Mytilus edulis: one gene and its partners. The protein of the gene in region 3 purifies or fractionates together with the protein of the main gene of each other region. This does not show direct contact. Links are inferred from orthologs where the notes say so. Each region holds a gene or a part of one and is shown on either strand. Other genes may lie near its edges.

Evidence for each region.
Region 1: the proteins of centrosomal protein 43-like (region 3) and serine/threonine-protein phosphatase 2A regulatory subunit B'' subunit gamma-like purify together in Homo sapiens (affinity purification with mass spectrometry; 3 studies listed by BioGRID and IntAct, counting the BioPlex papers as one, with this or other methods). This does not show direct contact. The link is inferred for Mytilus edulis from reciprocal best matches to the Homo sapiens genes CEP43 and PPP2R3C.
Region 2: the proteins of centrosomal protein 43-like (region 3) and centrosome-associated protein 350-like purify together in Homo sapiens (affinity purification with mass spectrometry; 6 studies listed by BioGRID and IntAct, counting the BioPlex papers as one, with this or other methods). This does not show direct contact. The link is inferred for Mytilus edulis from reciprocal best matches to the Homo sapiens genes CEP43 and CEP350.

Annotation. Positions count from the first base shown.
Region 1 is NC_092346.1:60,300,411-60,304,173, forward strand, and holds the start of serine/threonine-protein phosphatase 2A regulatory subunit B'' subunit gamma-like, read left to right. Parts: upstream 1-899; 5' UTR 900-1,011; coding exon 1,012-1,090; intron 1,091-3,763. UniProt on the Homo sapiens protein: May regulate MCM3AP phosphorylation through phosphatase recruitment. May act as a negative regulator of ABCB1 expression and function through the dephosphorylation of ABCB1 by TFPI2/PPP2R3C complex.
Region 2 is NC_092345.1:30,840,274-30,844,036, reverse strand, and holds the start of centrosome-associated protein 350-like, read left to right. Parts: upstream 1-1,460; 5' UTR 1,461-1,644; intron 1,645-3,763. UniProt on the Homo sapiens protein: Plays an essential role in centriole growth by stabilizing a procentriolar seed composed of at least, SASS6 and CPAP. Required for anchoring microtubules to the centrosomes and for the integrity of the microtubule network.
Region 3 is NC_092353.1:13,363,823-13,367,585, reverse strand, and holds the start of centrosomal protein 43-like, read right to left. Parts: upstream 2,142-3,763; 5' UTR 2,066-2,141; coding exon 1,985-2,065; intron 446-1,984; coding exon 392-445; intron 1-391. Other genes in the region: importin subunit alpha-1-like, read left to right, coding at 3,676-3,735. UniProt on the Homo sapiens protein: Required for anchoring microtubules to the centrosomes. Required for ciliation.

The DNA of each region.
Region 1 (3,763 bases), on a different chromosome or scaffold from region 3:
CCATAATACAATGGTTTTGGAGTGCATGTTAACGCGGGTACGCCAACTACTACGTCTATCTGTACGGCATGGATTGGTTTCTGTCATCTTAAGTAGTAAGTCGTTGATATCTAACTGTAAACCCTCATCGAAGATAGCGGGTAAAGGAGAGCTGGCCCAGCACGTCCGTTCAGCTGTAATGACTGAGACGTGACTGATGTGATTGAATGAATGAGGATTTAACAAAATTGATTTCAAATTATTTATATAAAATATATAAGTTTTCCAAAGAAGGTACCCAAAGAAATTTGCAACGATGCAAATATTAAACTTTACAATATAAATAAATATGTTTAACCAATGAATTAAAATAGCAAAAGCTATGTTATTCAACAAATATATCCTTAATAAGCTTCATGTAAATTAATTAACAATGAAATACATAAAATATGAAATTTAGAGTTTTACCAAAGGGAGCTAAAAATAAACTAATAACACTGTCTGCTACAATATCTTATAAACTATATAACGAGATATTTCATAAACTATATAAGATATCTCATAAACTATATAAGTTATCTTATAATGTTTCAATTGCGGTATTATCTGTGGATGTGTACCACATCTATGTCCAAAATTAGAAATGATTTTAAAATAATACAGTATTTTTTGTGGAGATTAAATTATTTAATATTTATTAATTACAACAATAATCATGGTATTCTGTAAATAACAGACAGGCACTTTCAACATAATTTTTATTATTATATACATATTCTTTTCCTAAAAAGAACACTTATTATTGAAAAGTTCAGGTTAATACAAGTTTAAATCAATTATAAACTTTAAATAGTTTGCATGTCGAGACAAGAAATGAATTATTCCCCTTTTCAATAAAGGTGTCGCATGAGACAGAACAGCCAATCAGCTCATCTGTTATGAAAATGGAGAGGGAAGATGGAACATGTTTGGAGATATTATGAACAATTTGTTGGTATTTCGCCCCATGCATCCATGTATTGCTGATAAAACATGACCAAAACACCAACAAATAAAAGGAAAAGCATGGAGTGGTGCAACATTTTAAAAAAATATGTTGAAAGAAATAAAAGTGAGATATTTGCAAGAAAACACACCGGTGGTCAGTGGTATCCGGTCGTTCCGGCCCCAAACCGATCCGGCCCCAAGTCAATCCGGCCCAAAGTCGATCCGGCCCAAGTCGATCCGGCCCACGTCGATCCGGCCCCAAGTCGATCCGGCCCCATAATAAAATAAGAAATAAATATATTGATCTTGGAGGAATTTGTGACACAGTATAAATGGAATTTGCAAAAAGTGTCCAATGATGGATGACAACAGGTATTATCATCGTGTAATGTGTTTTCGTACTAATAACAATTTTCACTGCTTACGGTTTTTACTGTTGAGTTTTTATTTAGGTGTTTACTCAGATTTAAAAAGCATGTCCTGTAGATTGATTTTAGGTATCTAGTTTTTTTGTCAATGATTTCTACGATTTTTTACTGTTTCCGATTACTTTGCGATTTTTGTATGTCAAAAAAAACGGCGTCATATGTTTTCGTATGAAATAAAAATTGGATCAGTACACGGACAGGAAATGACTACAAAATCCGGAAATAAATTTTTTCTAAAGTCGTGGTTCTGGTGATCGCTTGAATCATAAAAAAAGTTATTAAATACTTTTCAGTACTAAAAATTACTAGTAAATAGTGTAAGGTTGGTGTTTCGTGTAATGAAATTTTTAGATTTTGATTAATTTTCAGATTGGCACCTGGTTTGTACAAAATACATTATTTTTTCTAAAATAAAATGCAGTTTTCAAAATTTATGATTAAATATAAAAAGTTAAGACTGTTTTCATCTTCATGTATCAAGGATGTATAAAAAAAAATTGTCAATGAAATATTGAATAGTTGGATTTTGAACAACCATTTTATATAAGAACCCTGCTAATTTTAACTCGATGGTTTATAATTAAAACGGCCAAAAAAACACATGACAGTCATATGTCTTGAAGATCCGGTGTCTGACTTGCAAAAAACATATCTGGACTTTATTTTAATCCTTCAGAATTTTTTTCCACAACTATTCTAGTGATGCGTATTTTTGACATTAAATAAAAATGGCTAAATAGGTCAGTTTTATTTAATTTGTTCTAACGGCTTTAAAAAGCGACGTTGAATATGTTTTAAATATATCAAGTTGTAGTGGTGTTGTTGTTCTAAATATAGAAACAGAAAAACATGCCACAATGTACGCGTATGCAGTCGAAACCGACGAAATGTGGTTGATACGAAAACATATGACATACGAAAACATATGACACGACGATAAGTGAAGTATTGGAGTACCAGTTAAAGAACTATTTTAAATCGATACGAAAATGATTGTTATTGTGTCGTTGGTTGTATGGCAGCTTCAACATATTTTAAAATATGAAGTTATTTTCCATGATAACTTTAACTTTAACTCATGGCGATTTCATTTTCTTTTTTTTTTCATACACAGAATATCTAAATAAATATTTAGTCCACTGGAACCTATTAAATTTAACTCATCATAATGACTTGATTAATCAAATCATTAGTCTATAATTGGTTTGTTTATTCAACAATTGTCTGATGATTGTGAACTAAGGTGATGCCACTTGTAATCACTTAATTAAATCAAATCCTGATTAATTGATCTTCTGGTTAAGGTTGGTGTATATAATAATTATAAATTGTATTTTTTTCAGGTAACATCACAGGCTTCTATTTACTTGTTTGTTTTTTTCATAATATCAACGAGGTCTTTATAGATTGATATTTTGTTTGGTGTATATAATAATAACCTATAATGGTTTACTTTTATAAACTGTTATTTGGATGGAGAGTTTTCTCATTGGCAATCACACCACATCTTCCTATATCGATATATTTTTCATAAATTTGACAGTATTTTGAATAGTTGTGTGTAGAAAAAACACAAGTTATATGAGTATCCATTATTCTTTATTGCAAGAAAATAACAAAACAATGACACTGAATGCACGTTTTCACACTCTAAAATATAATATCAGCACTACTAAAATATAACAATAACATCATACATACTAACTATCTCTGACACTCACATAAATATACATAACCTTTTAATAAATCATTTACACTAACAGTTTTACACTGTCACTTACTTAAAGGAATTGTTTTAATATAATTATACCCAATAATCTTGAAAACTTGTAATAAAAACATAATCAACCTAGTTGTTTTATACTCATCTGAAGAATTTTTTTTAATTTTTTTTTACCGTACACCTTTAACATTATAATAAAAATCATAAACATTTATGAATTACTTTAATATATATCTTTATTTTTATTCCTTATAAATATATTTTTTTATTGGGGCCGGATCGACTTTACATTTGGGCCGGATCGACGTGGGGCCGGATCGACGTGGGACGGATCGACTTGGGCCGGATCGACGTGGGGCCGGATCGACGCGAAAGCGTGGTCAGTGGTGGACTTGATAAAACTTGAACAATAAACGTCTTAAGCTGAAATGTCAATGATTTTATTTGAAAATATTACATATATATCTATTTTGGGTTGAAGGACAATAACACTTTGTAAATTGTGAACTCAAAAACGTTATAATTCACCTGTAGATCAGTTGCGGATCCAGAACTTTTCATAAGGGGGGGCCCTCTGGTTGACCTAAGGGGGGCCCGCTCCAGTCATGCTTCAGTGATTCCCTATATCATCAACCAAATTTTTCCC
Region 2 (3,763 bases), on a different chromosome or scaffold from region 3:
GTTGTTAATGTATGTGTCATTTTGGTCTCTTATGGAAAAGTTGTCTAATTTGCAATCATACCACATCTTCTTTTTTTTTTTTTTTTATATTAACCTCCAGTGGCATTCATTAAGAATAAGAATACTTATTTTTCCAATTAAGGACCCTTGATTGGCATCATGACATTTATATAATAATATAGAATTGATCGCCAGTGCTTGTTGGTATACGGGAGGTAACTCGATAATTTATTTTTTTCAAATAAAAATGATAATAACATTCGAGTTATAAATTAAGTTGCGTCCAAAGAGCTCTTCTGGTTTTACCTGCAACAACTTGGGGCCAGGACAAAAATTTGTTTTGCCCTCCCCTTTTTTTTTGTAAAACCGTTATTTTTTCGTTTTCTATTAATTTCAACAGAGACATGTATTTATATGTCTCTGATTTCAATTATTTTCCGCGTTTTTCTGTATCATAATGTATATACTACACACTGTACAAATATAAACTGGTATAATATTTGCTATTTACTATCAATAAAGTTTGCATTGTTGGGAGTAATTAGCAAATAAATGTTATTTTAAGTATATAAATTTTCTTATTATATAGAAAAACGAGAAAATAATTGAATGTAAGAAAAAACGGAAAAAATAACGGATTATGGAAAAAGGGGGAAAAGCATAAAATTGTCCTGTCCCGTCAAGCACCTATAGCTATGACATATGCACTTGTTTCTATCCACCGGAACTGAGGTCGATTATCCATATATATCTTTATGAGAAGGTCGACTAATCATATATAGTTGGCCTATCCATGGATAGAAACAATGAATCTCAAGTGTCTGTGCCCACATGGACTAGGTTGGCAGATCCAGGGACTAGTAAATGATTTTGATTACTGAAAAACGAATGATCGATATGGATAGTTAGAAAGAAAAAAAATATATAGATGCCCGCGAAAAGCGTTGATAATGTATTATTAATAGACAGTATTATTAATAGACAGGAAGTACGAAAAAAAGACTTGAAAAACATTGACCATAATTTTACAAAATTTGAAAGTGCTCATGATAAACCGGCCGCGATCGAGTCCCGGCTGCGGCCAACAAGTATATTGGATTCGTGATCACTGGGTGTTCATGCCGAAGTACTGCTTATTTCAGTTTCGGAAGCAGAAAGGGGGTAGGAGAAAGGAGAGGAAGGCTGGGAGAAAGGAGAAAAAGTTGGAGAAAAAAAATTAAATATGAAAAAATAAAATATCTCTTTTTTCCGGTAAATTAAAAAAATAAAATAAGGAGAAGAGGGGTAGGAGAAAGGAGAAGAGGGGTGGGAGAAGGGAGAAGGGTACCCCCTGTCCTCCCCCTCAGTTATGATAGATCTAAGAACTGTTTTTAAAATAGTGTAACCACGTCTTTGATAAATATTAGCTGTCTTGAGCAAAGCGAATAAACAGAGAATTATTGTGGAAACCAGTAGGTACCAGTTTACCCGTCATCCAATAAATGTTACAAAATGGCGGCGAATTTTGGAGTACGTCGAGGCATGTTTGCTTAGCCAGTGTTTACATTGCGAAGGGATGACAGAAAAACATGCAATCAGAAAGAACAGACATTTATAATAGACAACACAATAATTTCTAATATTTTCATATTATAACTTTCATAAGTAAGTGTACATAAAACAGAAACATTTGCAGGTTACTGTGTAACGAAGGCCCAACAAAAATATTATGAGATGTTTTGCATTTAGCTAACTCGGCAACATTATGTTTGAAATGATTTTGTAGATTATCTTGACCGGTAAATAACGGAAAACACAGCTTTTATGTATCACAAAGTTTCAAATGCATTTGTAAGTCTACTAAGATAATCATATAAATATTGTGTTAATTTGATATTAATTTTGGTAACCCCCCTTAAAGCGAAATGGTAACAACAAGATTGACAATGCTCTGTTCCACATTCTGTTCTATCAGACATTTATTAGTTGTGTTTATGCCTCAAAAATTTAAAAAAAATGTGTATTGCAACGAAAACCAGATAATTAAAAAAGGACATGTACATGTATTAAAGAACAGATTGTTTATAACACTTTTTTCTCACAGCTATTTTGATTTAATGGTACTGAAACTTTGTAATTGAGATATGTCTGGGACTGAGCTTACGTGTGAAGTGACGGTCATAAAAATAACCGGTAATTTTGGTAGAAAACTTTAATTTTTCCAATTGTGATTGTGGCAGTGTTTTTTCTTTTACTCTTAGCCCAACCTTAAACATTCTGAAAAACCCACTTCTGTCCTACATTTTATTGTGATAGCAATGAATAGTCCTGACCTTTACATTATCCTTGATAATATAGATTCAATGGTGGATTTCGTCATTCTTTTCACAGCAAGTGTTGCCATGGAGTGTGACTTTCATTTCATATTATCATGCATTCATAGCCACACAGAACTTTTTTAATGGTAATATAAAAAAGAAGATGTGGTATGATTGCCAATGAGACAGCTATCCACAAAAGACCATAATGACACAGACATCAACAACTACAGGTCACCGTACGGCCTTCAACAATGAGCAAAGCCCACACCGCACAGTCAGCTATAATAGGCCCTGATAATGTAGGTTATAATATAGAAATAAGGAGATGTGGCATGATTGCAAATGAGACAACTGTCCACCCCAGTTCAAATAAAGTGGATGTAAGCAATTATATAGGGAACCAAACATGTGAAGCCTGCAACAATGAGAAAAACTCATTCCATGTACATTGTACATGTAGTTAGTAAGGCAACAACATGAAAAATATGAAACAGTTCAATTGAGAAACTACTGGCTTCCTTTATAATAAAACAATTTACGAAAAACAAAGAAGACAGATATGACCAGAGAAGAAAGAGATTATTGTCTACTTTAAAGGGCGGGAAATTGTTTCACATCAATGACACTTATATTAAATGAGAAACAAATCTTATTTTAATAAAGGATCCTAAATGTACAAATGTACATAATAGAAACCAAGTTGGTGGATTTGAAATGTAAAACTGTTATATAAGGATAATCTGAAGGTCCAGATTACCAATATGCTGTGCAAGTACATTATGGTGGTGCATAACACGTACAGGGAGATAATTCTGTAAAAATAACATTTTAATCACATACATGTACAAATGTATGCATTGTATTGTTAAAGGAAGGAAACATTAAGTTTCTCAATGATCAAAATTAGTGTTTTATCAAACTTCTATTTATATCCAATTAAAATTTTCCAATAATTGAATAAAGTGCATTGTTCCAGTGTTTTTTTGTTTTTTTTTATTTGTCACTGGTTAGGGTCAAACAAAATTTGGTGTAAATACATGTACATATGTACTTATTGAAAATATATTTATTTATGTTTGATTTCAATTTCCAGGTTTGAATTTCCTATTTATTATTTATAAGGCGGGAAAATATATGGGGATTTCCTTGTTTTCCTTGTTGAGCTTTGATAGATCTATAGACCCTTAAAAATATATTTAAGAGTTCATTTTTCTCCATCAAGACACACAAAAGATTTTGATTTGATAACAGTATATACAATGTATATTGATTCTTTAATTAAACCCCAAAGGATTTTTTTTATTTAAATAGACAGGAAAAAGTGATACAAAGTAAATTAAACAATTGGAGTTATCCCTCTTTGTACAGATTATCTCCTTCCATGCATTCAACTATTTTATAAAATTTCTGTACAGTTTCATATTTATTTTTTAATTATTTTTTTTAAGCTTGGAAGTGGTCCT
Region 3 (3,763 bases):
TAATTGTCTATCAACCGAGTGCCAATCCACATCAACAAAAAGAGTTAATAATCCTATCACATTAAAAGCAAAATCTTGATCCAATTGAAAACCATTAAATGCAATAACTATACATTGAGATGAGTATGTTGAAATTCTGATCAAGTCATAGTGTACAACAATGTAGAAAGCAATGATTGATTCTAAACAATTTCTTAAAAGGGTTATATCAAAGGTAAAGCAAAGAGTAATTTAAGCTAATAGAAAGTGATATATTTACACCAAACATGTATTGGTTCACCGGTATGTAAATCATGTATCTCTTTTTATCAGACTTATAGCAAATGATCCTATTTTTGACAGGTTCATTTATTTAAGGACTTTTGTTCATTATGGCATACAAAAATCATACCTGTGAAGACTCTTGTTCTTCTAAAGCTAGGAATACACTGGCCCTCAGCTGTGCCTGAAAATAATTTTTAAGAAATTAAGCGTTGTTTTTTGGAAAAGTTTAATATGCCTCTCATCCATCATTGTCCATGTCATCATATCTATATTAATTTACATGTATTCAAAATCTTTTAAACTAAAATGATGTAAATTCAGCAGGTTGATACAAATCAGTGAATTATAAAGGTTTTTTTAATTTTCTATTTCAGTCAAAGAAAAGAATAGTGCTGTTGGCTAAGGCCAAATTAAACTGGAGATTCTAAAGAGCCTTTGTCAATCATCTGGATCTATGTGCACCATGATCTTAATCAATGTCAATGGCCACTCAGTGGCGGATCCAGGGGGGGGGGGGGGGGGGGTTCCGGGGGTGCACACCCCCCCTTTATTTTTGCCGATCAATGCATTTGTATCGGGACATATGTTTTGCACCCCCCCTATGCCCTCCAGGGCCTGGGTTAGCACCCCCCCTTTCGAAAATTCCTGCATCCGCCCCTGCCACTTTCCAACATATAAATGTAATAGACTAGAAAATAATTCATGGCCATAATATCATTCCTGTCGATCTTTTATAATTGTATAGTTACTGATCACTTTTGATGTTTACAGTTTTTCAATGTAGGTTTCCAAAATCCAAAGCATGTGACAATATTGGTTTAAGACAAGCACTGTTAAAAAAAACCCACTTATACAGGCTAATCAAGTGTTTTTTATGTTGTGTACTGTTGTTCATATAATTTTTCATAGGGGTGTATCTTCGAGTAGCATGTACTGGTCCAAGTTAAAGGAAAAACTTCCAACTTGTATACATAATTTTTATTTTTTTATTTTAAATAACATACATTCAATGTTTTCTAATAAATAATTTGTCTTTTGAGTAGACCTGTACAAGTAAGAAGACACCTTATTGCTATTCCCGGCTGACCAGAGAATCTGCACCGTTAGAACTAATGACGTCATACAAACAAACACTTTTCCATTGTGGCGTCAGATATTTTTTATTATGATGTCAAAATTTTCTGGGAACCTGTGAGATGTCCAGAAATGGCTAACAAATAGCGACAAGGTGTGTATTAAAAAATATAAATACCTGGGGAATTTTTTTGTTATCAATATTTTTGCAGACTATGTCTAACAACTTTAACTGAAAGGGATTTATTGTAATCCCCTTAAAATGCGATAATCACTGTGTCATGCATAGTACATGTATTTGCTTCTAATTTAAGGGGAGATAATTTGAACCAAAAGTTTATATTTTTTTTTTACAGATTTATAGTTTAACCAATTATGATAAATACAATATAAATCAAGATTTCGGACAAATACGACGTAAAATAAATATTTATGACGCTCATGCATTGCTAATATTTGTAAACATGTCACAAATATTTCTACATTCCGTGGTAACTTTGCCAACTTCTTGTCAGTACATGCATCATGGATGCAAAAGCGTCATCAGCAACGTCTTAAAATTCAAATAGAATGGCGTTATGAATATATGTGCGTCATGTTAGCTTAGCCACCAATAACTTTCAATATTTTGTATGGTTTTAAATACCCTGATTTTTCCTAAAACTCCATTTGTCTCTAAAGTTTGAGCTACAAGATCACGAAGCTCGGTGTCTTCGTCTGCCGACATGATTGTTTTGGGAAATAGGTATCTAGCGCATGAACGGAAGTCGGACAATATTTACTAAAACAATGTTTTATTAATGAAGCTTTAATAATAAAAAAAAATCTGCACTTCTAATATTTCTTTAAAAAAATATCTTTTGAACAGCTTTTCATTGGAAAAAACATATTTCCGTAGAACAGGTGCTTGTTTCGAAACACTCTAGACTTTCCATATGGATAGAGAAAAGTCTTGAAAATATACTTTCGGCTTGTTTTGTTGCTAGTGGCTACAACCAATGAAAATTATCTTTATTTTCTATCATCCAATCAAAACGAAACGGCAAAATGACATTTTATATTACCCGGAATTTTTAAAAAGCAGTTTCACAATACACGCATAGAGAAGAAAACAAGAATTGGCTATATTGTACCAGAAACCAATTGCAGTAAAGAAATCTTATTGAAACAGTATTAACGAAGATATCAGTATTCAGGTAAAATGAAATTCAGTATTTTTAAGGGATAATTTACGACAAAGAACCTACAAACTTTAACATCTTTATCATAATTTTAAAGTAGTGTCTGTTAAAATTTAATACTTTATCCTTTTTGATTTTGTTTGCCTATTATTATTACAATACAATTAATCGTTACATCTTAATTTAGATTTTAATGTCATTCAGCTCTGCTTTTGTCGTTTTGGATGCTGTGAGTGTGATTAGCAATTTTTTATGATGATGCCAATAATATAACTTCTACGGTGCAGTTTTTTTAGTTCAATATCTGTTATTTATTCATCTTTATTTTAAAAATTGATAATTTTAAATGCATATTACAGTAAACCAGTATTAATCGAGCTAATTTATTTACCCCCCCCCTTTTTGTTGAAAAATGAATTATGTGGACATATGGTTGGAATCCCCTTTTTTTATGACTTGCATGCAGGCTTTAGGTAAATGTTATCATAATCAGCTGTAATTGATTTCATTATTTCATGAAATCATTGTGATCAGTCAATTTTTTTAACGTTAATCAGTTACTTTTCACTTCCTGATTACTTTTTGATAACATTTTGATCAAAGACATGCAAGATTTCAACTGCAATTTGGTTACTGTGATGTTGTATGTAGAAATTTTTCATGTTTTTTTTAGCAACGATAATATTCAGGCTTATTTTAATTTTCTGACGTAAGTTGGACATAAATATTACAGAAAAATATATCTGGAAAAGTTTGCTTCACATGCATGACAATAAATATCAGTCTGCACCAAAAACTTTTTAAACTACTAGTCCGAAGACTAATATTCTAACATTTTTCTTATTGGGCCAAACAAAGTTTTGCAAAAACTTACTAGTCCGAACCAAATTTGACTAGTCTGGGGCATCGGACTAGTGGCTAACCGTGCAGACTGCTGACATGTATGCGATCTAAAATCAAATTAAAATCATAAAAACTTGCTTTCATGTTTCACTAATCAGAAAATGAAAATGACTCATGAAAATCTTTAGGATTTAAAAAATTTAGTTATATTGATATGTTGACATTGTTATTGTACATCTGAATCTAGATATATATTATAATTACAAGTGCTAAAAGTTCTGATTATTTCAGATTTAAAAGAAAGCTGTAAAAGATGCCTTCCAATGAAAATGCTCGTATTAAAACCTACAAAAACAAAGGAAGAGATGTTGATGTAAGTGAAGAACTGAGTAATAAATTAA